3 linked regions of the Oryctolagus cuniculus genome follow. The protein of the gene in region 1 interacts with the protein of each later gene in a pairwise test. Links are inferred from orthologs where the notes say so. Each region holds a gene or a part of one and is shown in the gene's direction. Other genes may lie near its edges. The genes, in order: SKAP1, PRAM1 and EEIG1.

Region 1 (10,040 bases):
TTGTAGGCTAAAGGATCCTGGGTAATCTCCCATAAGGCAGTGCAAACGGCACGAAGAAGTTGCCCTGGAGAAAGAACGGAATGAGAAAGTGCAGAATAGGAGGAAGTGGTGGGTGCATTCCAATATTTATTATTGATTTTTTTAAAAGGCAATTCATGGGGTGGGTGTTTGACCCAAACATTAAGTTACCTGCATCTCATGCTGGAGTGCCTGGGTGCTAATCCTGGCTCTACTTCCAATTTTAGCTTCCTGCTGATGTGCACCCTGGGAGACAGCAGGAGTGATGGCTCAAGTACTTGGGTCCCTGCCACCCAGATCGAGTTCCGCACTATGGGCTTTGGACTGGCCCCCTGCCCTAGCTGTTGCAAGCATGTGGGGAATGCACCAGCAGACAGAAGACCTCTCTCTCTGTGTATGTCTCTGTCTCTCTCTCTCTCTCTCTGTGTCAAATTTTAGAAAGAAAAAGGCATCTTGCTGCTCCCACAAGGATCAGGTCAGTGGCCTTACTTGTTGCGGCATTTGAGCCTCTCCTTGGTATTTAGGGCGCCATCCGGGGCGACTGTCTCCATAGGCAGTTGATCTCTTCCTGCCACAACCATTTCAATCAGCAGGGAAATAGCTTGGAGTTTGTTGTAAATAGATCTGCTCTACTGAGAGCACCAATTCCCACTGCCCCCTTCATTTCATCATAACCTCATTTAACAAGTATTTGTTTGGCCCAGTCTGTGCTGGGTACCACACTGAAGCTGAGAACACATCAGCAAACAAAGCGGCCCTCAGATCTTTGCACCTCGCGGGTGACAGCGAGACACATAGGCAGATGCGAGGCAGCACGAAGAACTCGTTCCCAGAGAAGGGCCTGGCGCTGTGGGCCCTGTGGACCTCATCAGAAAGTGGGGAGAAGAGGTTCCTGAGAGTAGGTGACTGTGGAATTGAGATCCAAAGGCTGCTGCGGATCAGGCTGAGGGAGGGCGCCAAGGTGAGAGCAGCTGTGGCTCATGGGCGTGGCTGAGACAAGTCCTGTTTTCCCAAGGGCTCGCCAGTGATTGACAGTCCTGGCCGGCGAGTGGGACCAAGTCATGCTGAGCCTTGTCTGTCTTGTCAGGAAGTTCAAAGGGGCGAGCATTTAACTCAGTGGTTAAGACAGCCACGTCCCACATGGGAGGCGCCTGGAGTTTGAAACCCGGCCCCAGCTCATGACTTCGGTTTCCTCCTCATGCGGACCCTGGAGGCAGCCATGATGGCTCAAGTAATTGGGTTCCTGCCACCCAGATAGGAGACCCGATTGCATTCCCAGCTCCTGGCTTCAGCCTGGCCCAAACATGGCATGGTGAGTATTTTGAGGATGGGAGTGAACTGTCTGTCTCTCCTTGTCTCTTTGTCTCTCAAATAAATCTTTTATTTTTTAAATTTTTTATTTTTTAAAATTTTTTTAAAGATTTATTTATTCATTTGAAAGTCAGAGTTACACAGAAAGGAAAGGCAGAGAGAAAGAGAGAGGGAGGTCTTCCATCCAATTGTTCACTCCCCAGATGGCCGCAATGGGCAGAACTGCGCCGATCCGAAGCCAGGAGCCAGGAGCCTCCTCTGGGTCTCCCATGCAGATGCAGGGGCCCAAGGACTTGAGCCATCCTCCACTGCTTTCCCAGGCCACAGCAGAGAGCTGGATCGGAAGTGGAGCAGCTGGGTCTCGAACCAGTGCTCATAGGGCATGCCAGCACTTCAGGCCAGGGTGTTAACCCGCTGTGCCACAGCGCTGCACCCTCAAATAAATTTTTTTAAAACCAAGAAGACTGTAGGAACCCACTGAAAGGATTCAAGCAAAGCAGTGATGTTATCAACGTGCATTTCAGAAAAGTTCTAGCTGCAGAATGAAGATGGGGAGTAAACAAGAATGCTGACTCAGAGAGCAGGTTTGGCAGTCCTCGGGAGAGCCGAGAGAGGACAATGACCCCGGGCATCGGTGAAGGGGGTGGAGAGCAGTGGGGAGATCCCATAAGGCTTTGGAAAGAGAATTTGCAGGGCTCCAGGGTTTACTGGGAAAGGCGGTGAAGCTGGGGGAAAAACTCCTGGGTTTCTGGCTTGAGTTACTGAGTTATACTGAGGAAGCAGCCACTCGCTGAGATGGAGAAAACAAGGGGTGAAGGTCGTCTGGAAGGGGAGATGGGGGTAGAGCAGATGGGGGGCACGTCGGGGACGTGCTGAGCCTGAGCTGCTTGGTGGACATGCTCTTGGATCTCGGGCCCCAAGCCCTGGGTCTGAGCCAGCCCTGGTCATGAGTCATTCGCACGGACGTGGAGCTTAAACCGCGGAGGTACATGCATCGCTAGAGGAAAGTGCGGCAGGTGACAGAGGAGGGCCAGGGCAGAAGCCTGGAAGACGAGCACAGCCGAAGCAGCGCGCAAGATGAGCCCACAAAGAATGAGAAGAAGCAACCAGGGAGGCAGAAGGGAGCCACGTCAGTACAGTCGTCATAGAAATTAAGAGAAGAAAATGCCTGAAGCAGGGTCAATAGTACCAGCACCGCTGAGAAATCAAGTAACTAAAGGACTGGAACGGACCGGAGGCTCCGAGCTGGGAGGAGACGGAGCGTCCGTGGGATGGTGGGAGCAGACGCCTGCTGAGAGCAGCCCGAAGAGCGAATGGAGAGGAAGGAAGGGGCAGCAAGTGGGCGCTCTCCAAGGCGTTGGCGAAGTGCAGTCGGCGAAGTCCAGCGGAAGGGGAACACACGTGCACTGCAGACTTTCACAGCCGCTTCCAAAGAGCTCAGAAGCTCAGACGGACTTCAGTGCGGATGGAAGGGGCCGTTACCACAGACCCCAGAGAACGCCGTCTCGAGAAGGAGAGGGGCGGGTCCCGTGGTGAGGGACAGCCTTGAACCAGGGCGGGGGCGCCTCCCCTCTTCAACAGGAGAGGGGCGCTGTCCGAGTCCTTGCTTTGGTGGCTGGAGGCTGGCGAATCTGACGGCCTGTTTTCTCTTGGCAGGTGGGGAAAAGGCACCTGCTGCCAGGGTGGGGGGCGGCAGAGCTGGAGGAGGGAGACACAAGGTCCCCAGTTGACGCAAGGGAGCCGGGGCCTCCTGGCTCTCCAACCTGCCTTTCGTGCCCTTCTTTTTCCTTCTACTAGAGCTCAGCAATTGTGCACAAGCAGTTAGTCCACCGTCCCTCAAGTCCAGTTCACCTGGAATGTACGTCCCGTTCGTCAAGTTCCGTGCTGATTTCCTGGAGCCCGATGGAGCTGCCCCCGTGTGCTGGGCGTTTGAGAAGCGCTCCCGTATTCAAGGAGCTCCTTCCTCAACCTCACGACCCCCCCTCAGCTCTCTTTTAAACCCTCGCTGGGGGCACTCCGTCCTTCCTGCCTGTCACTCTCAATGTCCCGCCTCTGTTTCTGCTTCAGCAATGTCACTTACACCCCCACAGCACGGGGGGGGCAGATTCCACCCTTGCTCCTACCCACCGAGGAAGGCAAGGCTGAGACAGCCTGAGGTCACGTGGCTCCTAAATGGCCCCGCAGGGATGGGCTCCCAGCCTGTCGGCCTCCAAAGCCCACTGTTCTATGCTGGGAGCTCCTGAGGGCCAAGCAGTGTTTGAGTTCATCAGCAGACCTCTCGCAGGAACCCCAACAGCACTTGCACGTAGAAGATGCTTGGGGGCCGGCGCCGCGGCTCACTAGGCTAATCCTCCGCCATGCGGCGCCGGCACACCGGGTTCTAGTCCCGTTCGGGGTGCCGGATTCTGTCCCGGTTGCCCCTCTTCCAGGCCAGCTCTCTGCTGTGGCCAGGGAGTGCAGTGGAGGATGGCCCAAGTGCTTGGGCCCTGCACCCCATGGGAGACCAGGAAAAGCACCTGGCTCCTGCCTTCGGATCAGCACGATGCGCTGGCCGCAGTGCGCCGTCCGCGGCGGCCATTGGAGGGTGAACCAACGGCAAAGGAAGACCTTTCTCTCTGTCTCTCTCTCTCACTGTCCACTCTGCCTGTCAAAAATTAAAAAAAAAAAAAAAAAAAAAAGAAGATGCTTGGTGAATAACAGTACTGATGTGAACTCTGAAATGACCTTCTGAATAGCGATAGTGTTCTCTGCACAGGGCCTACTCTTCTGTTTGGTTAAAAACATACAAAGCTCCTTAGGTTCAGCCATGGCGTCCAGTATGTTAAGTTTGTGATGTAGACAGGAAGCCAGCACCATGCAAACGTTTGCTCTCCCCTCCAGATGACGTCTGTGAATTGAATGATCCCCTCAGGGTATGCACTGTTCATACCGATGGTGCCAACTAAGGAGCCAATCACGGCAACAGATAGACAGGAGAAGGCCCGAACTCCAACTGAAACCGCCCTCTCTCCCCTCCAGGAGTACAACGTGTATGGCTGGTGGGTAGGAGAGCTCAACAGCCTCATTGGCATCGTTCCTAAGGAGTATCTCACCACGGCGTTTGACCCGGAGGAGAACTGAAGCCCAGGTTCCAGACCGTCATCCCTGAACCGCCCCGGTAGGCTGGAAACTGTCGGCCTGACTCACTTTCTCTGTGAGAGCTGGGGGGGGTGGGGGGGGTGGCTTTTCTCCGCTTTTCAGAAGCGATGCTCATGCTTCACCATTGAAAGAAAATGGGTCTGGAAGTGTTTTTTCCTGATTTGGGGACTGGGTCCACTAGGGTTAGGTTCCGCTAACAAATGACAGAAAATCTAAAATAAGAGGGACTTAATTAACACAGAAACTTTTTTCTCTCTCATCTATAAAACTCTAGAGGTGCAGGTCCCAGGTACCTTCTCTTTATGCTCCACTGTGCGTGCCCAACATTCTCAAGGTTACCTCATGGTCAATAAGGATGCTCCAGCTCCAGCTAACACATCCGCATCCTACCTAGCAAGAAAGAAAATTAAAGGAGAAGGGCATCTCCTTTCCCTTTAAGGACGTTTTTCAAATGTTGCGTGCCCCCCTCCACTTTTGCTCACATATTAGAACTTGGATCTGCAGACATACCACACTGCAAAGATGACTCTATTCTAAGTTTCCCTGTGCCCAGCTTAAAAGTGGGGGGTTCATTAGTACGTACGCAAAAAGAGAAGGATAGATATTGAAAAGCAAGTTGCCACAAACTCTGGGTTTCTGTGTCCCCAGACCTAGGGAACCATTTTGCTAAAACGGCCACACATTGCAACATGACTGGCCAAGATCAGGAAGCCAGGATGAGGGATGCTACAGGACATAATCATATTAACTTTGAAGTAATAAAGAATACGGTTTGTGTCTTATGAGCAAGAACCACACTATGTTTTAAAACAGTGGGAGTGAATGCTTGCTTTGGGCGCGATAACAGTAGGAGCCACTTTGGTGCAGAGTGGGTTTTGTTTAGGATTCAAATAGTGATGAAGGGCGCCCAAGACCGGCGCGATGTCTTGCGCTTCGTCTTCCAGCCGGAAGTGGGGGCAGCCCCTGTTGCTGGGGGCGAAGGATGACAGCCGTGTGGCAGTGATACAGAGCGTCCTTGGAGCCCTGCAGGCTGGGGCCCACGCCAGTGTGCAGCCACAGCTGAGTGAGTTCATTTAGGAGTGTACATAAGGATAGATCTTACTCTCCGGTGCCCTTGTACACCACGGAGTATCATCAGCCCGGGCCTGTTGCTCAAGGTTTGACTTTATGACTGTCCAAATGAGGGCTCTGCTTCCTGACCATGAAGGGAGAGGAGCTGGAATTTTTCTATCAAATCTAAACAGCTTCACCCTCCTTCACTCTGTCATTTGTTTAAAGTTGTTTATCTCTTTATTCTCCGTAGCCCAATAATTCTACTTGTAGGAGTTTCTCCTACAGCCATACTTGCACACATGTGAAATGCTATGCATAGAAGGCTACTTGTTTGTAGTAACAACTGATTGGAAATGGCCTAAATGTTCAAGTAATTGTAACACATTCATAAACTTGAATTCTATGCAAAAGTTTAAAAAAAAGAAATTATGAAATACATTCTGAGATATGTTAACAGCTTTAGAAAAAGGGGCCAGCGCTGTGGCATAGTGGGTAAAGCCGCCGCCTGCAGTGATGGCATCCCCTACTGAGTCCCGGCTCTCTGCCATGGCCTGGGAAAGCAATGGAAGATGGCCCAAGTGCTTGGGCCTGTGCACGCACTTGGGAGACCTGGAAGAGGCTCCAGGTTCCTGGCTTCGGATCGGCCCAGTTCTGGCCATTGTGGCCAACTGGGGAGTGAACCAGTGGATGGAAGCCCTCGCTCTCTGTCTCTGCCTCTGCCTCTGCCTCTCTGTAACTCTGCCTTTCAAATAAATAAATAGATCTTCTAAAAAAAAAAAAAGAGTAGGCTGAGTCTGCCCCATTTGGGAATGGAGGCTACACACACCTTTTTTTAATATATGTGTGAGCTGTTTCCAGAAGGAGAGAGAAAGGAGCATCGGTTGCCTTCAGGGACAGAAAAACTGCAGCACTAGGATGGTAACGACGGGAGACTTTCCACCCGATGTCCTTTTAGCCTTCTGTGTTTTGAATCATTAAAGCAAATGTATGCATCTCTCCCCCTTTAGGAAACATGTTCTTCTCTCTATCCTGCCTTTATAAAGAAACTGATCGAGAGCCTCAACTCCCGACCGCCAGCACCCCCTACGCCATCCAGAGACCCAAGGCACCTGGTGGTGACTGTCAACCCCCAGTGAGACGGTGGGGAAGCCACACCCCCCAGACCTGTTCCGAAACCAGCCTGGTGCTGACTCGGCCCCTCTCCACGCTGCTTCTCCACACGCCTGTGAAAAAGAAGGTGCAAGCCAAGCCCTAGGAGGAGAAGTTTCTTGTTGTTTTGGCTGATTTGAAAAGCACAAATAAACTTCAGGTTTTATTCTTTGCTGTGTGATGGTATTCAGTTCTGTTGTTGCTGTTGTTGTTGTATATGAGACGAAGACATTAAGGGAGCTCTCGTCCAGTGGTTCACTCCCCAGACGCCCACTGCGGCTGCGACTGAACCGTGTTGAAGTCAGGAGCGGGAACTCCCCCGGCTCTCCGTGGCTGGCAGGGACCTGAGCAGGTGAGCCATCACCTCTGTCTAGCAGGCTCTGCGTTAACAGGAAGCTGGAGTCAGGAGCCAGAGCCAGGGATGGAAGCCAGGCACTCTGACACGAGAAGCGGGCACCTTAACTACTAGGCCAGAAGACCCCGCTGAGTTCCTTTTTGTAATGGAATCAAAATGCTGTCTCTGGAAGTCTCACCACCGCCGAGCAAAGTGGGAGGGGACAGACAGACAGAAAACAGAAGCACAGGCCGGCACCGCGGCACAGTGGGCGAAGCTGCCACCTGCGACACTGGCATCCCATATCGGAGCGCTGGTTTGAGTCCCAGCTGCTCTGCTTCTGATCCAGCTCCCTCCTAATGCACCTGGGAAGGCAGCAGACGACGGCCAAGGACTCGGGCCCCTGCCACCCATTGGGAAACCGGGAGGGAGCTCCTGGCTGCAGACTGGCCCATCCTGAGCATTGCAGCCATTCTGGGAGAGAACCAAATGGAAGCTCTCCCTCCCCCCCCCCCTCTCACTCTTTCAAATAAATAAAATAAATCTTAAATAAAATAAATCAAAAAAGAAAAGCAAAGCCCAGAGAGAGCAGGACACTGGCAGTTGTTTCTCAGATCAGAATCCGCGCAGGAGCCCAGGCCTGCCGGTTTCCAGCTCGCATCTTGGGTTCCCTGTGGTTGGCTGTGGTTGGCTGCACAGCCGTGGGTTCTGCATGCGTGGACGCAAGCAACAGCAGATACAATCGTGTCTGTGTTGAACATGGGCAGCCTTCTTTCTTGCCATTATTCCCTACACAACAGAGAATAGCAACAGTCTACATTGTCTTCAACATTGTCAGTAATCTGGCAATGATTTAAAATAGACAGGGAGACGTGTGTAGGCTCTATTCAAATACTACAGCATTTTGTGTACGGGACTTGAACATCCACATGTTTTAGTAGCTGATGGGGGCCTTATGGGGAACCCATCCCCACTGATATCGAGGAGCAATTATTCTTATTTTTCAGAAGGATGTATTTATTTATTTATGTATCTGAAGGGGAAAGTGACAGAGAAAGAGAGAGCAATGGTCGGGCAGATTCAGGCCAAAACCAGGAGCCCAGAACTCCATCCGGGTCTCCTACGTGGGTGACAGGGGCGCAAGCACTTGGGCCATCATCCACTGCTTTCCCAGGTGCATTAGCAGGGGGTGCTGAATCAGAAGCAGAGCAGGGGCCAGCGCTGTGGCATAGCCGGTAAAGCCACCGCCTGCAGTGCCGGCATCCCATATGGGTGCCAGTTTGAGTCCCGGCTGCTCCACTTCCACTCCAGCTCTCTGCTGTGGCCTGAGAAAGGAGTAAAAGATGGCCCAAGCCTTTGGGCCCCTGCACCCGAGTGGGAGACCTGGAGGAAGCTCCTGGCTCCTGGCTTCAGATCGGCCCAGCTCCGGGAGTTTGGCCATTTGGGGAGTGAACCAGTAGATGGAAGACCTCTTCCTCTGTCTCTGCCTCTGCCTCTCTGTAACTCTTTCAAATAAATAAATCTTTAAAAGGAAGAAGCAGAGCAGCCAGGACTCGAACCGATGCTCCGATAGGGGCTACAGCAGCTCAGCTCACTGTGCCACAGCGCCAGCCCTTCCTTGATGGTTTCTTATGGACTGAATCTCCCTGAAACAAGAAAGAGCCAGTGGCCGGTGCTGCGGCTCACTAGGCTAATCCTCCGCCTTGCAGCGCCGGCACACCAGGTTCTAGTCCCGGTCGGGGCACCAGATTCTGCCCCGGTTGCCCCTCTTCCAGGCCAGCTCTCTGCTGTGGCCAGGGAGTGCAGTGGAGGATGGCCCAAGTCCTTGGGCCCTGCACCCCATGGGAGACCAGGAGAAGCACCTGGCTCCTGCTATCGGATCAGCGCGGTGCGCCGGCCGCAGCACGCCAGCCGCGGAGGCTATTGGAGGGTGAACCAACGGCAAAGGAAGACCTTTCTCTCTGTCTCTCTCTGACAGTGAGACCTTTCTCACTGTCCACTCTGCCTGTCAAAAAAAATAAATAAATAATAAAAGAAAGAAAGAAAAAAAGAGCCAGAGGCAAGGTCCTGGAGTCAGCACGTGAGTCAGCACGTTGGAGAGCTCCTCTCCAGGCCTTGGGTTGGTTAACTATCCCACTGTGTCCTGCGCCCCAGCTGGGGGCTGAGGGAGGCGTTTGAGGCAGGCTAGCGATCACAGGTCTCCCTGTTCCCCTCTCCTGTCGCCTGTTCCCGCCACTCAGGTCATCTGCATGCTGAAGACACAGCAAAACATGGCTAAGGATGGAGCTCCAGAACCAGACAGCCTGGGAATAAATCCCAGCTCCCAGATCACTGTGTTCTCTCGAGCCAGATGTTTGACCTTTTATGCCACAACTTCCTCACCTTAGAAGGGGCAGACCCTATCTCACTGAGTCACTAGGCAATAGGAAGAGCAAAGGATTCAATAGGTGTAACACTCTCGGAACAGTGCCAAGCAGAGTAACTGCTCAGTGAAGGTTAGCTGTTGTTACTGGCTGGCCCTCTCCACGAGAATTTTCCAAAGATACGCAACAGAGCAACGATCGAAACGTCACTGCAACACAAATGTCATTGCTGAAACCGCCTGCTCAGCGCGGTCCTGGATTGGTACTAAGCTTCCTCGTCTCTGTCGCAACCAAACTGAAGCCCTGGAGTAAGAACACATCTCCATCACTCCCAGAGGGAAACCAGGAAGCCAACAGGGGCATCCGTGGGCTCCAAGTCTCTCAATAAAGTATTTTATGTCAACTATTCATTTACAGATGTTCTGACCCAGGAGTTTCAAGAGGAAACCTTTTTTGTCTATGATGGATAAAGAGGTAAGGGAAAGGGACAATTTAGAACTGGGTCATGGGGGAAAAAGCAATACAGAAGTGTCCATAATGTCCCCTCCACTTTACATGGGTGCTACAGGAGAACGAACCACTAGGTGGCAGCATACGAGCAGATGAACCAAAGCGAACCAATAGCCTCCTGTGTTGGGAACCTCTGCACCAATCCCAGCCCACAGGTAGGGACA
Region 2 (10,409 bases), on another chromosome or scaffold:
AACCAACGGCAAAAAGGAAGACCTTTCTCTCTGTCTCTCTCTCTCTCTCTCACTATCTACTCTGCCTGTCAAAAAAAAATAATAATAAAAAATAGAAAAAACTGCTGAGCCAAAGAGCTACCCTGGTGTGACATATTTTGACAGCTTCTTTCGAAGACAAACCTCAGAGTCACCCTGGCCCCACCCTCTCCTGGGCCCCACATCCTGTTGACTCTTACAAAATCCCCGTCCCTGTCCTCCCTTCCTGGAGTCTGAGTCCCCTCTGAGGTCTCACTTCCCCAGATTGCACCAAACTCTGCCGCGCACGCACGCACACACACACACACACTCCAGCATCAAAGAGATCTTTGTTTCTTAAAACACATGACTTTGTAACTGGAAGAGTGGTAATGAAATGAAAAACTTTTTCATTCAAGGCGCACAAAAGAGTGAAAAGTCACTCTCCCTCTAACGGTATTCTCTGCATATAAAAGTCATAGGTATGTATGTCTTGTTTGACTTTAAAAAAATTCTTTTTTTTTTTTTTTTTGACAGGCAGAGTGGACAGTGAGAGAGAGAGAGAGAGAAAGGTTTTCCTTTTGCCATTGGTTCACCCTCCAACGGCCGCCGTGCCCGGCGCGCTGCGGCCAGCACACCGCACTGATCCGATTGCAGGAGCCAGGTGGTTATCCTGGTCTCCCATGGGGTGCAGGGCCCAAGCACTTGGGCCATCCTCCACTGCACTCCCTGGCCACAGCAGAGAGCTGGCCTGGAAGAGGGGCAACCAGGACAGAACCGGCGCCCCGACTGGGACTAGAACCCGGTGTGCCGGCGCCGCAAGGCGGAGGATTAGCCTAGTGAGCCGCGGCGCCGGCCTCTATTTATCTTTATTTGAAAGGCAGAGAGAGAGAGATTGTTCCCCTGCTGGTTCAATCCCCAAATGCCTCCAACAGCGAGGGCTGGGCCAGGCAGAAGCAGGAGCCTGGAACTTCATCCAGGTCTCCCCGGTGGGTGGCAGGGGCCAGAGTACATTAGCCACCACCTGCTGCCTCCCAAGGTGCGCATCAGCAGGGAGCTGGATTGGACTTGGAGGCAGGACTGGAAACCAGGCACTCCGATAGGGGAAGCGGGCATCCTCACCACGCCACAACATCCTCACCTACACCTTACAACAGAGGCACAGGCACTGACAAGGCCTCCATTTGTCTTCGGCTCAGCCAGCACCTCTGGGATGGTTGAATAACGTGTTACAGAGATCTAAGCTGTACTGTCCCATCTCTCCCAGAGGGCCTCTCCTTCAAATGACCCCCACAGAGCCGATGGTAAGCCTCCTCCTGCTAAAAATTCATCAGTGGTTTCAATAACACAAACCACACCCTCTGTCTCCACTGCTCACCTGGCCCTGATGACCCATTCTGCACCGAGGCCACTTCCGGACCTCTGCACCCCGCCCTGGCCATGCACCTGCAGTGCGCTCGCCCCCCCACTGTTCCTTGGCAAAGACAAATCTGTCCCTGTTTCAGAATTCCGAAAATAGTGGGTGTTGCTGTAAGAACCCCCAAACCTGGGTCCGTTCACCCAACGCTCAGAAACCCAACCATGGACATTGGGGATTTATTTGCAAAGTGCAGAGCAAGGAGCCGGGCAGCTCTTGCTTAATTCGAGGGCTCCCGGAGGAGCTGGGATGAAGGTTCTGGTAGACTGAAATGGGGCTGACAGGTGCGTGCTCAGCTCGGTCCGTGCACCTCGCACCCTGGGGCAGTGGCGCTGGTGACCTTTTGAGTGGTCAGCGAGGTCGCGCTCCTTCGGGAATTCTCAGGGTGGCCAAGTGGGATTCAGCAAGTCGGGGGGGGGGCGGTCACGGGGAGCTGGGGACCTGGAGTCTCCCCGCCTGGACCTGGAATTCCTCTACACGAATCCCTCTGGACAGTACTGGCCAATAGGGCTTTATCTACCAGAGCAGCAAGTGCCTCCGTGGGTCTGGTGATCAGATCCCTGCAGCGGCCCCCTAGGGGCCTCACCTCCGGGACCTCGGCACCTGGACCAAGACTAGCCTGAAGACGGGCACTTAAGCCACCAGCTCAGCGGACCCCTTCCAATTGCCAATTTCCCCGCAAGGAGGTGGCTCAATCCAGGAGAACCGCACTTTGCCGCCTTTGGAGGGTGGGTGGCGGGACGGGCCCGAAAGGATGTCCATTTTGCGCCGACGACACGGAGACCAGGAGGGACCCCCTCATCCCGATCGCCGGTTCTCCGCAAGGCGCCAACCGCGCTCGCCCACAGCGGCGACCTCGCGGCTGCCCAGGGTGAGCCCATCTCAGGCCCCGCCCCTCGCGGGGCGCCTCGCGCAGGCTCCGCTCCCCCGCTCTCGCGAGAGCTGGGATTCGGAAAATGGCGCCGACGTGAGCTCGAGGCCGCAGCGCCGAGGAAGTCGCTGCCTCCTCAGCCCGAGCCGCCGGAACCGCGAAAACGAGAGGCCGAGCCAGGTTGAGGATGGTGAGCGCGGCGCCGGGGGCGCGGGCGCGGCGGAGCAGCGGGAACCGACAGGGAGCGTCCCTGCCAAGCACACACCCTCCGACCGACCCCGCCCCCACATCCGGGCACCAGCCCGCAGCTGGCTGTCACTCGGCAATCGCCCTACCCCTACTTCCGGGCCTGGTTTCGACACGGCCACGCCCACAGGGCTCGGGCTCCGCCCCTCTACTAGGCATATCCGGGCCCTCAGCTGCTCCACGTCCGTCTATGCAGCCCGAGGTTGGCGGGGCCTGTCTCCATCCTCAAACAATCCGCTTCTGGCCTCTCCAGCATCTTGCCTAGGGTTGTCCAGTCCAGAACCCCGCCTTCAAAGCCGCGGCCCCACCCCCTCCTGGGCCACGCCCTTTCCCTGCCTTAGGAATTGGGGATGTGTCTCATGGGCACAATTACCCCCACCCTGTCTTGTAGGTGCCTCCTTAGAATGGGGGTGCCAGGGTGACTTCTAGGTGGGGAAGGGGGTTCCAGAAATGTCCGGGCCTCGTGGGACAGGTTCCCTGGGGCGCACAGGAGCTCCCTCCCCCTCTTCCTTCCACCAGGAGGAGGAACCGTCGGGGCCCGGCCCGGACATACCGGCCACTGCAGAGCCCAGCTCCAGTGACACCGACAAGGAGGTGTTGGCCCCGGTGGTGGCAGCCACTGCCTCCACCTCCATGGAGGAGGCGCCGGGCCCCGACCGGGCAGCTACGCCCCCAGTGTGGCCCGCAGGGACACAGCAGGGTGCCTCCCCAGCCTCAGAGCCTGGACCCAGCCCTGGTCCAGCCGGCACAGCCCCGGGGACCAGTGAGGAGCTGCGGCCTCCCAGACGACGCCCAGCACCAGGTGACCTGTGATGGGGCCTTCTGGGAAGCCACGGGCCTGGGAACCACTGGAGTGAGGAATGCAGACGTGGGACGTTGGGGTCCAGCTGGTCTGCCCGAGGGATGCTTTTGCCCATGGACCAAGCACCAGCCAGGCCGTGTACCCTCTGGCGGCCCAGTATGGTGGAGGGGCGGGGCGGTGGGGTGGCTGGTGGTGTCCCTGGGAAAGGGACCGCTGACCACCCAGTCCTGTCATCCTGCAGGGAAGCAGATACCCTGCTCGAGCCCTGGCTGCTGCCTCAGTTTCCCCAGCGTTCGGGACCTGGCACAGCATCTTCGTACGCACTGCCCCCCCCCACAGTCCTTGGAAGGTAGGGCCAGGGTAGGTGCTCAGGAGGCCGGCAGGGCCCACCCCTCCGGGGGGCCAGCCTCAGCCACCCCTCTGCCCTCCGTCCCTCCAGGCAAGCTCTTCCGCTGCTCTGCCCCGAGCTGCACCGAGAGCTTCCCCAGCATGCAGGAGCTGGTGGCGCACAGCAAGCTGCACTACAAGCCCAACCGCTACTTCAAGTGAGAGCCTCACCCAGCCCGGGGTCGAGGGCCAGGCCCCTCGCCCTCCCCGCTTAGTGCCAAGGTGGAGGAGATGGGCGTGGCCTCGGGCGAGTCCCGCCCGTCTGAGCTGCCCATGAGAGAGAAAGGGCGGAGCATGCGTGGTTGGAAAACGCACCCCCTAACTTAAAATTGAGACCTCCTTCCGCGTGTTGCCAGGGCTCCAAGTCTGGAGGGGTCGCGGCTGTCGTGGGCGGGAGGTGCTTGGCGAAGCCCGGCGCCTGCAAGTGGGGGCCCTTCGCACGCTCCCAGAGCGAGTCCCCGGGTGGCACAGGGTGGCACACACGCACCTTATCACCGCAGGTGCGAAAACTGCCTCCTGCGCTTCCGCACGCACCGCTCGCTCTTCAAGCACCTGCATGTCTGCGCAGAGCATGCGCAGAGCCCCGCCCCGCCGCCGCCCCCGGCCCTGGACAAGGAGCCCCCAGCGCCTGAGCGGCCCCAGGAGCCTGACCCCGCGTCGGCGCCGGGCCTGCAGTTCCCGCTGCTCGAGCCCTTCACGACCCCCGCCCCGGCCCCCAGCGGGCCTTTCCTACCCTACTTGAACCCCGCGCCCTTCGGCCTAAGCCCCCCACGCCTGCGCCCCTTCCTGGCTGCGGCGCCCGGGCCACCGGCCTCCAGCGCTGCCGTCTGGAAAAAGAGCCAAGGTGAGTGTCGGGGGCGCGGCCTCCTGCAGGGAGCGGCGGGCTGGACTCCCCCTGACTGGACCTGACCCGCCCCTTTATCGCAGGTGCTGGCGGCAGCCCCCGAAGACCCCAGGGCGGCTCCGATGCGCCCTCAGGTGCGTGCAGGTGACCACCAGGGAGGGTTGGCGGGGCTTTCCTTCCTGCGCCCTGCAGGGGCAGTGCAAACTGGCAGGCATCTGTGCCCGTCCCGTTCCCAGGTGGCTAAAAAATGCCACCCCGAAATACAGGATTTTGCCTTAAAAACCACTGGCACCTGCGCCTTCCTCTGCGCCGGCGTTCCCGTGTGAAACTCGCGCCCGCCCAATCACCGTGGAGCGCTCCTTTCCCCACCTGCGAGGGTTCGTGGGCGCAGGGGCCGCGGATAAGCCGAGTTTACGGCGGTGATGACGGGCGGGAGAAACGGATCCAGCTAGGCCTGGCCGCCTGCGCACGGGAGCTGATGGGGAAGCGAGGAAAAGTCCAAGCCGCCGCCCGCGTCCGCCGCCCCCGGGCTAGGGTCGCGGGACTGATAGGGTCCCGCCTGCCTGCCCGCAGGGCACGCGGCTCCGGGCCGCATCGTGTGGGAGCACACGCGCGGCCGCTACTCATGCATGCAGTGCGCCTTCTCCACGGCCTCGCGGTCTGCCATGACCCTGCACCTGGAGGACCACCGCCCTGGCGCCCCCGCGGCCCAGGCGTCCGGGCCGCGCCCCGACGCCTCAGCGGGTAAGGCCAGGGGACAGCGCCGCTGCAGAGGGCGGGGGGCACAGGGGTGAGGCGAAGCCGAGGCTCACGCGCTTCCTTCTCCCCTTTCCCCCCCACCCCAGACCCGGCCCCGCTTGCACCCAGTGCGTCGCCGCTGCTGTCAGAGGGGGAGCTGCCAGTCTTCTCGCCTCTTTGATCCGGGCTGAGATGGGGGGCGGGCGGCGGAGTTGAAGAGTTTTGTGATTTGAGGTGGGGGACAATAAAAGAGGCGCGATAAGCCAGCCTGTGCTGTGTCTGGGTCCCTTGCCCTCTAGTGCACACGGGGCCAAAGCCCAGCAGCCCAAGAGCTCCCCCCCCCCCATCAGCTCACGCCGGTCGCACAGAAACAGGGCCTGTCCCTCAGCCAAGCCATGTCGCATGTTCCCTGTCGCCTCTGTCCTGGGACCTGGGACCCAGGTCTCCAGTGCACTGCCACCCTATCCCTGGGTGGGGTCGAATTCTCAAGTTGTTGGGAGTGGGGAACCGGCATTTGGCAAAGCAGTGAAGTTCCCCACCTCCCTTGTAGGAGTGTCTGGGTCCCAGCTCTGCTGCTCACCGCAGCTCCCGGGAGGCAGTCCGAGCTCACCTGCTCGGGTCCCCACCACCCACAAGGGAGACCTAGATGGAGTTCCCCGTTCCTGGCTTCAGGAACTGCAGGCATTTGGGAAGTGCGAACCCCCAGATGGGGCATAGCTCTTCTCTCCCCCCCACTCGATCTCTCTGCCTTCCAAAGAAATTAATATTTTAACATTTCTGGGGCATCCGTGGGGGTGGGGGCTGTCTGCAGTGCTGGGGTCCCAGGCGACCCTCCTTGCTGCCTGGGCTCCCGCTTCATGGACGCCCGGTCTGAGTCCACCTCTACCCCATCCATTTTGAGAAGTCACACTGGGGTCATCCTGTTACCGCAACCCAGAGCGTCTTTCCCCTATGGCACTGCACCGGGTCAGGGCCTGGCTGCCCTGTCCTTACCCCTCCCCGCTCATGCCGGACCTCTGCCTGCTCCCCTGCAAGCCTGAATGCCCCCCGGTCCCCTGCAGTCCCGCGCCCCCCAACCCTCCCTCTGGACAAAGCTGTGACCTTTGTCAGAGAGGGGCTCCGAGAGCATCAGGACCCGAAGCAGAGTCCTCCTAAGTGGGGTTTGAGTTCCGCCCGGCAGGGGGCGCCCGGGAGTGTCTGAGGGGCGAACCCGTGAGTCTGGCGACCTGTCAGGCGCCCACCTGCGCAGGTGCAGAAGCAAGTGGGCCCGAGATCGGAGGCTCCCACTGACCACGGTGAGCCGCAGCAGGCGTTTTGGCCTGGGTTGAGGCACGGCCAGATGCCCGTGCAGCAGCCGGCAGTGCCCACACCAGCGGGTTACCCTGACCGCGGATCCTGGCCCGAGCACCCGCATCCCGGGCTCCCGACTTCTCGTGCTCAGCCCTCCCACGCCGCAGATTCCCACAGCGGCGCGCTGAGGACTCCCACTCCCCCAAGGCGGACCCTGGCCCAAGCTCAGTTCTTCCAGCTTCTGGTTCTGCGGCTCCGCGTAAAGGCACCAAAAACACAAAGGGGAATGTGGTGGACGCGCCCCCTGGCGGCTGGCGGCCGCCCCTGCAGACGGCGCAGGGCTCCATGCCTGCTTCCTGGGCATCCAAACTGCGCTGCTCTGTGCTGGGGGCGTCCACATGGATCCTGGGGAGTCAGCTGGCAGTCAGGCGTTTAGCCTGCCATCACTGAGCGCCTACTGTATGCTCCTGACCATTACCAGACCTCCTGAGAATCCAGTTCCCAGGGGAACCCACATCTGGGAACTGTGACCCAGCCACGGGCCCCCGAGTGGCTGTTTAGCTGCGCACTGCAATCTCCCAATGCGGTTTCTAACAACCCCGGTCCAGGCCCCGCCCCAGACCAGAAACTGGAAGTTCTGCTGTTTCCTAAGCTGCGCAGGCGATTTCCACGCATGACCACACAGGATCCAGGAGGGTGCTTTCCAGCCTTCCTCCCCGGGACAGGGCCCAGGTTCCTCCAGCCTCCCAGGGGCCGTCCTACCTTGCTTTCCTCCCAATTACTGCCTTCTGGATCCTTCCTTCTGCATTACCTTCCATCTCAGGGAACTTGGAATGTCCCTGCTCCCCCATGGGCGAGTTCTTGGACATCATGGCCCCGCCCCACCCCCAACACACACCCCTAAATCTGCGGTCCCCCAGCCGCCAGCCCAGCAAATCTGTCCCAAGAACAGGGAAGTTCTTGGCTTGCAAAGATGTGTTGAAAAGAGGAAGGTGTATTAGGCAAGACGAGCAGGCAGCTGAGGCCTCACCCATCATACAGGGACCATCCCCCTCCTCACTGGATGCCCCGACCCCTGGCCTTCCGGCCTCAGCTGGCCTGGGGGCAGCAAGTCCCCAGGAGCTCCCACTGGAAGCAAGGAGGCAGCAGAAAGACCAGGGACAGAACGTTCCAGTTGGCGGACATGCCAGTTACCCTGACCTGATCATCGCACATTGCACACGTGGATTGAGACACCACGTACTACCCCACAGATATGTGCAATCATGTGCCAATTAAAAATGTAAAACAGAATCGGGCATTTGGGCCCGCATCCCCCGTGGCAGTGCCTGGGTTCGAGTCCCAGCTCTGCTCCCAATTCCAGCTCCCTGCTAATGCACACCCTGGGAAGTACCTGGGTCTCTGCCACTCCCATGGGAGACCCGGATGGAGTTCCTGGCTCCTGGCTTTGGCCTGGCTGTTGCTTGCATTTGGAGAGTGAACAGGTGAATGAAAGATCCCTGTCTCTCTGTCATTCTGCTTTTAAAGTAAAAATGAAAATAAAGAGGACTGTGATATGAATGTGCTGATTCCATGCACTGAGCAAGGAGGTCAGGGTGGCTGGGGACAGGCCGGGCGGGGCCGTCTCCGCCTCCTTTCCTTCTTCCTCTGCCCTCCCCACCTTGTGTGCTGGCCTGGGGAGCAGAAGCCACAGGCACTTCCTGAAGGCAGCAGCCTGGTGCCCCGGCCCATCACCAGCCTGCAGACATGGTGAGTCCCCCAGCCCCGGGGCAGAGGCTGGGGAGGAAGGGGCACAGCAGGTGGAAACTGGAGGCAGGGGTTCCAAGAGCAGAGACGCGAAGCGGGTGCTAGGGAAAGAGGTCGGGGGACACAGGAATAGTCGGGCGGGGAGCCCCCGAGACAGGAGCCCGGGCTGCGGCTGTGACTTCAGGGCGGCAGCCGGCCTTTCCCCAGCTCAGCCTCAGTTGACAACATGGGAACAGGCAGCGACAGAGGGAGCAGAGCTTCCTGTGGGGTGACTAAGCGGGTCAGGCACCCCCACTCCTCCCCGCTTCTGCCGACCCTGACTCGGGGAGCCCTGTGGTCACCAGCAGGCCTTGACTTAAGCCCCCAGGCAGGACTCACTTTTCCCAGGGACACGCCTGATCCCGAGTGAGGCAAACCAGGCCAGTTACTGCCCTTCCTCTCCCCACTGCTTTGGCCCGGAGGGAAGCCAGCCTCCGAGGCCTAGTTCTGTGAGCCCAGGTGTGGGGTCATCTGAGAGGGTCCCCGGGGCATCCGAGACGACCCCAGGTGGTGGGAGTCCTGTGGACAACGAGCATCCCTTGGACGCCCGTAGGTGTGACCGGAGTGTGCCTGTGTTTGTGGCTGAGTTCCCACCACAGCCCCAGGGACTGGCCCTGCGGACACCCTGAGGATGCTCAGGTCCCTTCTATAGACGGCATGGGGTTTGCACAGAAGCCATGCGCACCCATGCACCCACGTAGCAGAATATCTACTGGGCTGTGAACGCCTAGTGAGCGGCCATGCTGTGCTGCTAAGCACAGCGGCCAAAACTTTGTGGGGGTGGGCGGGCAGGGCTCGGATTCCAGCAGCTGCACGCGCACAGCGCACAGCCCGTGGACATCCTTGTGGAGGAAAACTGGCCGGGGATGCTGGGGGGAGGGTCTGGCGCTGCAGGCCAGGAAAGATCCTGGCAGTGGGGACAGTTCCTCCCGCCATCCATGGTGAAAGCGGTGAGAAGTGGTTAGCTACGGGATGTATTTCAAAACTGGAACAGAAGGGACTGGGCCCGCGGGGGGTGAAGGACTAGGGGGTCCAGGAGGATGCTCTGAAGGCACCTCCCACCTGCTGGAGGTGAGTGGGGGCAGGCCCAGTGCCTAGGTGCACCAGTCAGTAGGGTGTGGTTGGTCTCCAGGAGCCTGGGGGGAGGGGGCGATCTCAGCCCAAATGGACAATAGAGCCAGGGCCAAGGACAGTAGTGTGGGGGTGGGGCTGCGTGCCCCTGACCTTTAACTCTTCCTTGGGTGCCCACCTCGGCCTGACTGGCCTCATGGCCCCCAGGGGAGCCAGCAGGACTTCCGCAGCCTCCAAGCCAGGTTCCAGGCCTCTCAGCCCCAGCCCAGTGAACACCCCAGAAAACCGCCGAAGCCTGACTTCAACAAACTGAAGAAGTTTCCACCGCCTGAGCCAAGCGAGCATCCCAGGAAACCCCCGCAGCCCAAGTTCGCCAACCCCCCCAGGAAGCCCCCGCAGCCTGAGTTCGCAGACCCCCCCAGGAAGCCCCCGCAGCCCGAGTTCGCAGACCCCCCCAGAAAGCCCCCACAGCCCGAGTTCGCAGACCCCCCCAGGAAGCCCCCACAGCCCGAGTTCGCAGACCCCCCCAGGAAGCCCCCGCAGCCCGAGTTCGCAGACCCCCCCAGGAAGCCCCCGCAGCCCGAGTTCGCAGACCCCCCTAGGAAGCCCCCGCAGCCCGAGTTCAGTGATGTCTCCAAGAATTTCTCACAGCTAGACAGGAAGTCCCCGCAGCCCAAGGTCGGTGAGAGCCCTCTGAAGTCCTCCCAGCCGCAGCCCATCAACCCTGCCAGGCCCCTCTCAGAACCCAAATTCAGCACCTTTCCCAAGAAGCCCCCGCAGCCTCAGGTCACCAGCCTCCCTCCAAAGCAGCCGCCGCAGCCCGAGGTCAGTGGTGTTCTTCAGACGCAGGAGGCCCAAGAGCCCCGGCCCCGCTCCCCGCGGCCAGACTTCTTCACGTTTCCCAAGAAGCCCTTGCAGCCTGGGCTTGGGGACCTCTCCAGGACATCGTCGGAGCCCGAGG
Region 3 (10,309 bases), on another chromosome or scaffold:
CAGAGCCTCGGCGAGCCTGCCCTCGGCCTCACCCAGGGTGAGAAGCCTCCTGCCGGAACCCGGGGGTCTTGGCCTCCTGGGCACAGACTGTCGCCCCCTCTGGGCTTGAGGGTTCTGCCATCTGGCCCGGGGCCTGGCCTGTTTTCCTAGTGAACACCTTATCCACGGTTTTCTTCAGGGCTGCTCGAGTGTTGTAGATTTTCCACACTCCCCTCTTTCTGGGACGGGTGGCTCCTGGGCCTCTGGTCATCCCCCCCTCCCTGGGGTCTCGTGGTGCTGGGGTGGCCTCTGTGCTCCCCAGGGACTGTTCCCCAGAATGGCCTTCCAGCCTCTCCCCACATTGCCATCCCCAGGACTGGTAGGCCAGTTAATTCTCTTGGCTTGGCCGACTTTAAAAGAAATTAAAAAGCAACTGATACTTGGACCAGGGAGAGAAAAAAGGAGGTAATGTTTCCTCTCCCCACCCACGCGTCTCTGTCCTCCCTCCTCTGTCTCCAGGAGCCCCAGCCACCACGGGCCCTGGCGGGTGGTGACTCGGGCACCTCCCGTGTCCCCTGTGCACCTGCACGCTCGCGGCTGCCACTGTTTTATTTCAGGAGACGCGTGGTCCTGTCGGAGGTCCCCGCCCACGTCTGTCCTGTGGCCTGGGGGGCGGTCTCTGACCCTTCTTTGGGCAGCTGCCCTCGGTGCTGTTGGGCGGCCCCCGTTACACATCGGGGTTGTGCTCGTTTTTGCCCAGGTGTCACCACTCCTTTTGTGGCCACACGCACACGTGGACACCTGTGGCTGCTGGCACCTCCACACGGGCCCTTGTGAGTTTGGGCCAAGACTCCTCTCCAGCCCCCTCCCCCCGCAACTCCCTGCTCCAGCCACACCAGCCCTGTGCCCTCCTTCACCTGTGAGTGCGTGCCCGCCTCAGGGCCTTTGCACGTGCCCCGATGGCTCTTCCCCGGGTGTCCGTGTGGCTCACCCTCCCTCCCCCAGTGTTCTGTTCCCATGTCACCTTTCCATTAAGCTCTTCCCTGGCCGCCCGAGCAGTGCCTACCCCCTTCCCCACTTCCTTCTCGCAGTGCTGGGCCTTTGCCGCCTCTCAGCCGAGTGCAGCCTGCTGTCCGTGTGGTTGACCGCTGCCGTCCAGGGCGCCTTCAGCAGTTCTGGCGTGTGGAGGGGCTGAGTTAAAGGTGTTGAGAGTCAGGTCCCTGGGATGGCCTGGCCAGCTTCCAGCCCGGGGCTCCAGCTGACCGGCCGCCCCCCCTCTTAGGCGCGTCCCTCACCTGGCCCTGGCCCCAGGCCCGTGTTCATCTGCCCTCAGCTCCACCCTCTGCTCGGGACCCAGCTTCCTCTGTGGGAGCGCTGGCTGTGAGGGGAGGCGGTGTGGGCTCAGGGAAGGGGCGGGACAGCCGTGCTGCCGCGGGCGAGCTTGGCAGCGTGTGTGAGCCGTGGTGGCAGCCACCGTGGGAAGTGGCCACTGTGCTGGTATGTATTTGGCCCGGGCTGCTGCTGTGTCCTGTGGGAGCGGTGACACGGAGCAGGTGACAGTTGAGAGCCCTATGGGAACTGGAGTGCAGCCCGTGCCCATCCTCCAGCCCTGCCCTGCTCACTTCCCCAGGGGGAGGGAACCCGCCCGTCACCTGAGCCCGGGAGGGCTCCATGTGGCTGTCTCTGCCCGGCCCGGCCTAGCAGGGCGGACAGGAACCACAAATGGGCCCGGGCTTCCTGGTCGGCCATTCCCACAGCAGCCTCCGAGGGGCGGGAGGAAGCCCCAGCGCACTCTGGGCTTCTGTTCACAGACTCCCGTCCTAATCCCTGGTGTGTCAACACGCCCGGAACACACAGCTTCCTCCTCGGCTCTCCATGGCTGCTGCCGGCTCTGGGAGGGGTGGGGGGAGGGGCTGGGGGTCCACATGGACTCCACAGCCACCCCCAGTTTTCTCCCCTCTCCAGCTTTGCCCCTCTGTCTGCAGCCTCTGTGGTTGCTCGTGGCTTCTGCCTAAGTTGCAGTCCATGGAGACAGTCGAGCCCTCTCAGATCCAGCGTCCGCCCTGAGGCTCCTGAGGCCCGTAGACCCGGCCCCTGCTGCTCACCCGGCCCCTGCCCTCCGCTCTCCCCAGGTGCCTTCTGCTGGTTTTCCATTTGCCGAGTGTGTCTGCCCCCAGGCCCTTCACCTTTTCTGTCCACTCCTCCAGCGTTTTCCTTTTTTTTTTTTTTTAAGATTTATTTATTTATTTGAAAGAGTTACACAGAGGAGAGGCAGAGAGAGAGAGAGAGAGAGAGAGAGAGGTCTTCCATCCGCTGGTTCACTCCCCAAGTGGCCACAGTGGCTGGAGCTGAGCCGATTCAAAGCCAGGAGTCAGGAGCTTCTTCCAGGTCTCTCATGTGAGTGCAGGGGCCCAAGCACTTGGGCCATCCTCCACTGCTTTCCCAGGCCTCAGCAGAGAGCTGGATTGGAAGAGGAGCAGCCGGAACATGAGCCGGCACTCATGGGATGCCGGGGCCACAGGCGGAGGCTTAGCCCACCGCGCGCGGCACAGCGCCTGTCCCATCCGGCCACTCTCGCCCCAGGACTTCTCTCCACGCCTCGCTCAGATGTCAGTGCCTTGACGCCGTCCCGTCCACTCACCTGAAGCAGTGGCTATCGCCTCTTCATCCCTGCCTGGCACTCCCTGCCCTTGCTCTCCATTTTCCTGTGTATCTGTCCTCCACGTAGTTTTGAAGGCAAAAGAGGAGTCGTTTCATTGTGACAGAGGTCACCTTCCAGCCCGCACGGTGTACAGTCCAGGGGGTCGTCAGTCCATCCGCAGAGCGGCCACCATCCCCACAGTCAGTGTTTAGGACCTGTTGTTAGGCCAGAGAGGCGTCCTGTGCCGTTAACCACCCTGCCCGCCCCCGGCAGCCGCCGCCCTCCTCTGCCCTGTGGCTCTGCACGCCCTGGGCGTGTCGTGGAAACACCTGACCTAGCACAGCGCCTCTTGGAGGTTGATCACATGTGGCACCCGTGGCTGCCTGGGCTCTTGTCCGGACACTGCTCCGTGGTGTGGCTGGACCACGTTGTGTTTAGCTGGTCCCCAGCTGGTAGACATCGGGCTGCTTTTCCTTCAGGCTGCTATGGGAACTCGGATGTGTGTGGTGTGAGTTGTGGTGTTCCCCTGAGAGTGGAATTGGTGGGTCACGTGGCAGCTGTGTTTAGTGGTTTCCACACAGACACGGGTAGGTGCCTTGGGCACCCAGCTGGTCCCACGCCCTCCGCGCGGTGCACCTGCCAGGCTCTCCCAGGCCCCAGGACTGTGTGAGTGGAGATACTGGCTGAGAGTTTTGCGTTGAGTCAGACAGTCCTGGCTCCCATCCTGCTTTTTCAGCCCGTAGGAGCGTGATGGGGGTCAGGGGCGGGGGTCTCTCGGCCCCTCTGCCCTCAGCTGTAGAAGAGGCTGCCTTGAGAAGCAAACACGCTGTCATTGGGGAGGTGACCGTGGCTCCCTCCAACCTCAGCCCCAGTCTGGCGGTTAACCCGCACTCCCGGGTCACCCTGGGTTAGAGAAGTCACTTCCCGAGCTGTCCAGTTGGGTGGGATGAGCTGGGGACGAGGCCTCTCACACAGCCCCTCCCTTCCTGAGCTGTTCTGTCAGGCAGGCCGCGGGGGGCCGGGGAGCTGCTGCCCGGGATCCCACCTCCCACAGCTGCTGGGAGAGGATTGCGTAGCCTCTCACACCCACTCCAGGGCACAGCAGGCCTCGTGTTAAAGGGGCTAAAGGGTGCCGAGTTTTCCAGTGTGGTGGTGCTCCGTGCCCAGGTGGGACTTGGGGGAAGCCAGGGCCCCGCTTTGCTGTCTGAGCACCCAGAGCCAGGCTGCCTGGGATCAGCCCTGCGGTGGGCGCAGGCAAGGCTCGCGGCCCCCAGAGCCCTGGGTTCTCCAGCCGGGGTCGGGCTGCTGCGGGAGGCTGCCGTGGGCCCCCAGAGCCCTGGGTTCTCCAGCCGGGGTCGGGCTGCTGCGGGAGGCTGCCGTGGGCCCCCAGAGCCCTGGGTTCTCCAGCCGGGATCGGGCTGCTGCGGGAAGCTGCAGGGTCCATGAGGCAGGCTCTGCTGCTGGCTTTTCTGAAGCTGTAGAACAGCTCGTGGACCATGGGGCCTGGACGCCTGGCCTGCAGGACCCGTGGATGGGCGGGTCCAGCAGTGTCCAGCTACAGGCCTAGGGCACCACCCACGCCTGTCGGGAAAGCACCATGTGCGCGGTGGCTGCTGGAACTGTGATGAAGAACTAGGGTTCGGGCCCAGCCCCGCCGTTGGCTGGCTGCCTGCAGCTGGGGAGTTCGCCTGCCTCAGTCTTTTCATCTGCACAATGGGCTGATAGGAATCAGCCTGGGAGGACTCCCAGGGTCCCCGAGATGAAGGTGGAAGGAAGCACCCGAGGTCACAGCAGAGTTGGGGGAGGGGCAGTGCTGGGCGCAGAGGTTGGGGGCTCCCAGGAGGTGCCGCTGCCCCAGGCCTGCGGTCCTCCCTGACTCCCCCGTGGCTTCCGCTTCTCAGTACCTCTGCTGTGTTTTACAACCACAGAAGCACAGCTCTGTGAGAAAGCAGTCCCTTTACGTCACAGAGTGAGGCGAGAGCCCCTCTTCCCTGGTTCCTGCAGGTGCCGGGCCCCTGCCCTGTCGCTCACCCAGGGGCCCACGCACTGACCACGCCGTGCCCGTCCCCCTCTGGCCTGCAGGGAGGAGGTGCAGGAGAACTGTGTCCGGTGGCGGAAGAGGTTCACCTTCGTGTGTAAGATGAGCGCCAACCCGGCCACAGGCCTGCTGGATCCCTGCGTCTGCCGCGTGTCCGTGCGCAAGGTGAGCGGTGGCGGGTGTGGGTCCTCCCCATGTAGGATGGAGGAAGGCGCTCTGCCCCACTCCGTTCTTAAGACTGTTTGAAGTGCAGAGGACAGAGACAGGCTTCCATCCCTGGTTCACTCCCCAGATGCCCAGAACGGGGCCCGGGGCTCCCACCTGGGTGGCAGGGCCCCGTGTTCCCAGCTGCGTCAGCGGGGCGCTCAGTTGGGAGCAGAGCAGCCGGACTCGAGCTGGTGCCCGCGTGGGACGCCGGCTGCGCCGCAGGGCCGGCTCCTCTGCCCCTGTCTTGTCCTCACCAGCACTCGTATCTGGGAGGACCGGGGACACCCTGAGGTCTCTGGATTCCCTGGTCACCTTGTCGCTTGTGTCTCCCTCCCCGTGCAGGAGCTGAAAGGCGGGAAGGCTTACTCCAAGGTAAGAGGGGCCCTGAGGGGCGGCCCAGGTCAGGCAGGGCAGTAGTTTCTAGAGTGTGTGGCTTCCTCTGCCCCCGCAGGACACAGCCCTGCCTGAGCTGTATCCCTCTCTGGAAGTCTCACAAGGCAGCGTGTGCTTGTCGCCACACAGGCGGGGTCCCCAGGCGCTGCGTTCCGCGCCCTCCTCCGCCAGGCCCCCGTGGGACCCCTCCATCGGCATCGCTTAGGGATTTCCCGTCGTACACACGGAGTGGTGCTTTCGAGCGCCGTAGGAGGCGCGCCTTGTGGTTGCCCTCGTGTGCACGGGCGGGTGGTGACTTCGTAAGATGCGCAGATGCGCGATTCCTGCAGCGGGCTTTTCCCACCTGTCACGTGACGGGCGCCTCTCGTGCAGGCAGATTGCCGTGTGCACATGCTGAGGGCAGCCACGGCCCCCCCTTGCGTGGCTGGTGACAGCGCCGGCTCAGCCAGGCCCACCGTGGGTTTGCACACACACACACAGACGGCTCAGCCCACACTGTCAACCTCTTCCCCGGGTGCTGGCTGTGAGGACGCCCGCCCTGCGGAGGACAGGAAGTGCCTCAGTCTCACCTCCTGCTCCGCTGCTCTGCGGGGACGCCTGGGGCGGTGCTGCCCAGGGTGGCACCCTTCCTAGTGACCCCAGTGGCCCCAGCTCAGGCGCCGGGCTGGGCTACGCCCTCTGCCCCAGGCCATAGAGCTGTCACAGTGGAGAGCGCCCTTCCTGGTGGCTGAGGTAGGGGAAGGCGGCCGAGAGAAGCTGCCAGCAAACAGCCAGGGCCTCCCCGGCTGGCACTGACTAGCACCTAGCACACTTCAGACCCCGCTGCCCCCCACCCCCGCCACTCTGTTCTGCACGAGAGCCCCCGGCACAGGCCCTGCTGGCCCTGGACCCTGAGCAGGAAATCGAGGCCCCGGGAGGTGGCAGGCGTGGCCCGTGTCAGTTCTGGTTCTGCCAGTTAAGTCGGGTCACTTGCCCTGCCTCACCGTGAAGGGGAGGTCCCTCTGTGAGCAGGGGCGGGGCTGGGGTCCGAATCTACTCCCAGGCACCAGGAAGCATCCCGCAGGGCCCAAGCCTGGCACTCCCCACCTCTGCTGTTTCCCCTGTGAGTCTGACCAGCTTGGCTGCGTCCTGGGTTTCCTCCCTGTCCTGGCTCCTCTCCTGGACGCAGTGTCAGCAGCAGCCTGAGTCCCCGACGGCCTGTCCAGATGTCGGCTCCGCCCACCAGATCCTCACTCCCACCTCCTCCAAGGGATGACCCTGGGGTGCCCGCCTGCCCGGCCAAGTGTCCCTTCCCCTCTACTCCCGGAGCCCCCTCCGTGGGGCGTCCCCTCGCCCCTGCCCGCCATCAGGTTCCCACAGGCCTTCCCTCCTCCCCGCCTGCTCCACAGCACGGCCTTGTTTCCTGGGGAACAATGCGTCTGTGTCACAGACAACAATGTCTTTTCATGTCAGGCGTGCTGGCCCCGGTGCACACTGGGACGCGGCACAAAGGCTGCTTTGTGCGGCTCAGGGATGTGAGCTCCTGGCTTTGCCACGTTGCGACCCGGGCCTCTGTCCTTGGGTCCTGGTTATGCAACAGTCAGTCTCAGTCAGGGCTGTGGGCGGGCCCAGGAGCTTTGCCGAGTTAACCCTCTGGGGCACCTGCCAGCCCTGCACCCACGCTGTCCTCCCCCTCCCCCCAGCTGGGCTTCGCAGACTTGAACCTGGCCGAGTTTGCAGGCTCGGGCTCCACGGTGCGCTGCTGCCTCCTGGAGGGCTACGACACCAAGAACACGCGCCAGGACAACTCCATCCTCAAGGTACCCGGGACCTGCTGACCCGGCTGCTGGGGCTGACAGACGGGCTCTCACCTGCACAGGCAGTGAGAGACACTGCAGGTGTGGCCGGGCGCCTGCCTCAGTTTCCCCACCCGTGGTCGGGGTGGACGCCATCATACCGTCCGGGTTTGGCGTGCACTTCCTGCGGGATCACAGAGTGCTGAAGACTTGTCTCACCTCGTGACCCCCAGCAGCCTGAGGGGTGTGGTGTCTTAGTAGCCCCATGAGACACCTGGATCAGGTTCATGGCCTTGGGTCACGAGCAGAGCTGGCACTTACCTCCAAGCCGTTTGACTCGGTGGCCTGGCCTCACGTGACACAGGCCGCCTGGCCCCTGGCAGCAGCAGCAAGTGGAGGAACCTGCCCTCCCAGACCTGGGTGTGCATGGGCGGCTGCCCGCCCTGCTGGCCACGTGCAGGTTTCCGGTGGCGGAGGCAGCCCCCGTGCCCCAGGCAGCGGCCTCTCTGGCCTCTTGGCAGCAGAGGTGTCTGGGTGGCTACAGCCAGAACACCTCACTTCCTCTGTCTGTGTGCCCTTCCCTGGTGGGGAAAACAGGCTATGGAGACAAGACCTCTAAGCAGAAGCAGTGCAGGGCCGCAGGGCCACGGGCCCAGGGCCTCTGTGACCCTCTGCAGAGAGAACTGGAGGCACCAGAAAAGCCCAGGCCGGTGGCACTGAGCCGCAGCACCTGTCCGCCTCCCCGCGCTGGGCCCACGCACCCTTAGCCAGGCCAGACCCCGGGGCCTGTGGGTCAGGGGGTTTCGGAGGCGAGGCCGGCTGCCCTGTGTCCTGCCGCAGGGTCCTGAGCAGTTGCTTCCGCTTCCTTGTTCTCCACGTGGGGCCGGCACTGCTCTGCGGCGGCTGTCCAGGCCAAGAAGCGATGCATAGAAAGCCTCCTACCCCCCCCGCCCCCCCGGCTGCTCCGTTTCCGGTGCAGCTCCCCGGATGGCCTGGGAAGGCAGCAGAAGATGGCCCAAGTGCCTAGGCCCCTGCACCAGTAGGGAGACCCCAGATGGTGTTTCAGGCTCCTGGCTTTGGCCTGGCCCTGGCCCAGCTATTGTGGCTGAACCAGAAGATGGGAGATCTCTATCTATTTATCCCTCTTTCCTTCTTTTTTTTTTTTTTTTTTTGACAGGCAGAGTGGACGGTGAGAGAGAGAGAGACAGAGAGAAAGGTCTTCCTTTGCTGTTGGTTCACCCTCCAATGGCCGCCACGGCCGGCGCGTTGTGGCCGGCGCACCGCGCTGATCCGATGGCAGGAGCCAGGTACTTATCCTGGTCTCCCATGGGGTGCAGGGCCCAAGCACTTGGGCCATCCTCCACTGCACTCCCGGGCCACAGCAGAGAGCTGGCCTGGAAGAGGGGCAACCGGGACAGAATCCGGCGCCCCGACCGGGACTAGAACCCGGTGTGCCGGCGCCGCAAGGCGGAGGATTAGCCTAGTGAGCCGCGGCGCCGGCCCCCTCTTTCCTTCTGTAACTCTGTCTTTCAAATAAACCTTAAAACAAAAGGCAAGGGGCTGGCGCTGTGGCACAGTGGGTTGAAGCCCTGGCCTGAAGTGCCGGCATCCCGTATGGGCACCGGTTCCAGTCCCAGCTGCTCCACTTCCGATCCAGCTCTCTGCTATGGCCTGGGAAAGCAGTAGAAGATGGCCCAAGTCCTTGGGCCCCTGCACCCCCCTAACTTCTTTTATTGAGATTTATTTGAAAGTCAGTTACACAGAGAAGGAGAGGCAGACAGAGGTCTTCCTCTGGTTCACTCCCCAGGTGGCCACAACAGCCGGAGCTGCGCCGATCTGAAGCCAGGAGCCAGGAGCTTCCTCCTGGTCTCCCATGCGAGTGCAGGGGCTCAAGCACTTGGGCCATCCTCCACTGCTTTCCCAGGCCACAGCAGAGAGCTGGATCGAAAGTGGAGCAGCCGGGACTCGAACTGGCACCCATATGGGATGCCGGCACTGCAGGTGGCAGCTTTACCCACTACGCCACAGTGCTGCCCACCCCCCTCTTTTCTTTTTAATGACATATTTATTTGAGAGAGATCTTCTGTCCCCTGGTTCACTCTTCAAATGGCTGCAATAACCAGGGCTAAGCCAGGCTGAACCCAGGAGCTAGAAACTCTGTCTTGGTCTCCCATGTGGATGACATGGTCCCAAGTGCTTGGGCCATCTGCTGCTGCCCTCCTAGGCACATTAGCAGGGAGTTGGAGGGAGGTGGAGCAGCCGGGACTCAAACTGGCACTTCATATGGGGGGCCAGTGTCTCAAGCAGTAGCTTAGTGAGTTGCACCGTGTCGGCCCCTTACAGCCGACTCTTGCTATGCACCTGTTGTGCTGGGCATAGCCAGGAGGCAGGCCTTGGGGTCACTTCCAACCTCCACGGGGGCCCAGGGCGGTCCCTCGGCAGGGGTGGGAAGGTGGCGGGGGCCGTGAGTGGCTGGTGTGGGTGGCGTGGTGGCTGATTCTCTGTCCCCCCCCCAGGTCACCATTGGCATGTTTCTGCTCTCCGGAGACCCCTGCTTCAAGACGTGAGTGCTGCTGGGCTGCAGGAGTGGGGTGGGATACAGGGCCCTCCTTCCTCCGGGCCCTGGGGCTCCCCTGTCGCCATCTGGCCCCGAGGTGGGGACGCCCCAGTCACACCCATGTGTCTTCCGAAGGCCACCGTCCACTGCCAAGTCCATCTCCATCCCGGGCCAGGACTCCTCCCTGCAGCTGACGTGTAAGGGTGGCGGGACCAGCAGTGGTGGCGGCGGCAGCAGCACCAGCTCTCTGACAGGGTCCCGGCCCCACAAGGCCCGACCCACCATCCTTAGCTCAGGTACTGTTCCCCGCCTGCCCACTTCCACTGCTTCGCTGTGCGCAGGGCCTGGGGGAGAGCTCGCTGAGCAGGGGGCGGTGTGGGTTCTGTGTGCACCGGCCGATGCCGTGTGTGCGCTGTGCATGCCGGCTGCAGTGCCGGGCCCCAGGGTCCCAGCACCAACACTGAGGCAGCATCCCTGCCCCCAGGCCCCCCGGGGAGACACAGGTGTTGGTCACAGCACCAGTAAATCGTGTGCCTGTCCACCTGCAGATGTGCAAGGGCTGGGGGAGACAGCCACAAGGGGCAGAGTGTGTCTGGGGCCAGGAAGGCTTCCTGGAGGAGGGGGTGTCTGAAGTGTAGTCCGGCGTGATGTGCCCCCCACCCCCGCCCCACCCCCGGATGTCTGGGAGCTCTCACTTTCCCACTTGCCGTGTGACCTTG

What was found.
Region 2: the proteins of SKAP1 (region 1) and PRAM1 interact in binary tests that used the Homo sapiens proteins (3 or more experiments, as listed by UniProt). The two-hybrid records come from large-scale screens. The link is inferred for Oryctolagus cuniculus from reciprocal best matches to the Homo sapiens genes SKAP1 and PRAM1.
Region 3: the proteins of SKAP1 (region 1) and EEIG1 interact in binary tests that used the Homo sapiens proteins (3 or more experiments, as listed by UniProt). The two-hybrid records come from large-scale screens. The link is inferred for Oryctolagus cuniculus from reciprocal best matches to the Homo sapiens genes SKAP1 and EEIG1.

The regions. Positions count from the first base shown.
Region 1 is NC_091448.1:24,414,580-24,424,619, reverse strand, and holds the end of SKAP1 (src kinase-associated phosphoprotein 1), read left to right. Parts: intron 1-4,347; coding exon 4,348-4,449; 3' UTR 4,450-4,486; intron 4,487-6,527; 3' UTR 6,528-6,840; downstream 6,841-10,040. UniProt on the Homo sapiens protein: Positively regulates T-cell receptor signaling by enhancing the MAP kinase pathway. Required for optimal conjugation between T-cells and antigen-presenting cells by promoting the clustering of integrin ITGAL on the surface of T-cells.
Region 2 is NW_027208201.1:4,530,491-4,540,899, reverse strand, and holds the start of PRAM1 (PML-RARA-regulated adapter molecule 1), read left to right. Parts: upstream 1-5,711; 5' UTR 5,712-8,338; coding exon 8,339-8,341; intron 8,342-9,655; coding exon 9,656-10,409. Other genes in the region: ZNF414 (zinc finger protein 414), read left to right, coding at 2,722-2,733, 3,051-3,333, 3,575-3,682, 3,773-3,878, 4,221-4,564, 4,648-4,698, 5,138-5,308, 5,410-5,483. UniProt on the Homo sapiens protein: May be involved in myeloid differentiation. May be involved in integrin signaling in neutrophils. Binds to PtdIns(4)P.
Region 3 is NC_091432.1:231,349,250-231,359,558, reverse strand, and holds part of EEIG1 (early estrogen-induced gene 1 protein), read left to right. Parts: intron 1-2,194; exon of another isoform or gene 2,195-2,439; intron 2,440-2,620; exon of another isoform or gene 2,621-2,898; intron 2,899-4,702; coding exon 4,703-4,823; intron 4,824-5,207; coding exon 5,208-5,237; intron 5,238-6,940; coding exon 6,941-7,057; intron 7,058-9,549; coding exon 9,550-9,596; intron 9,597-9,725; coding exon 9,726-9,886; intron 9,887-10,309. UniProt on the Homo sapiens protein: Key component of TNFSF11/RANKL- and TNF-induced osteoclastogenesis pathways, thereby mediates bone resorption in pathological bone loss conditions.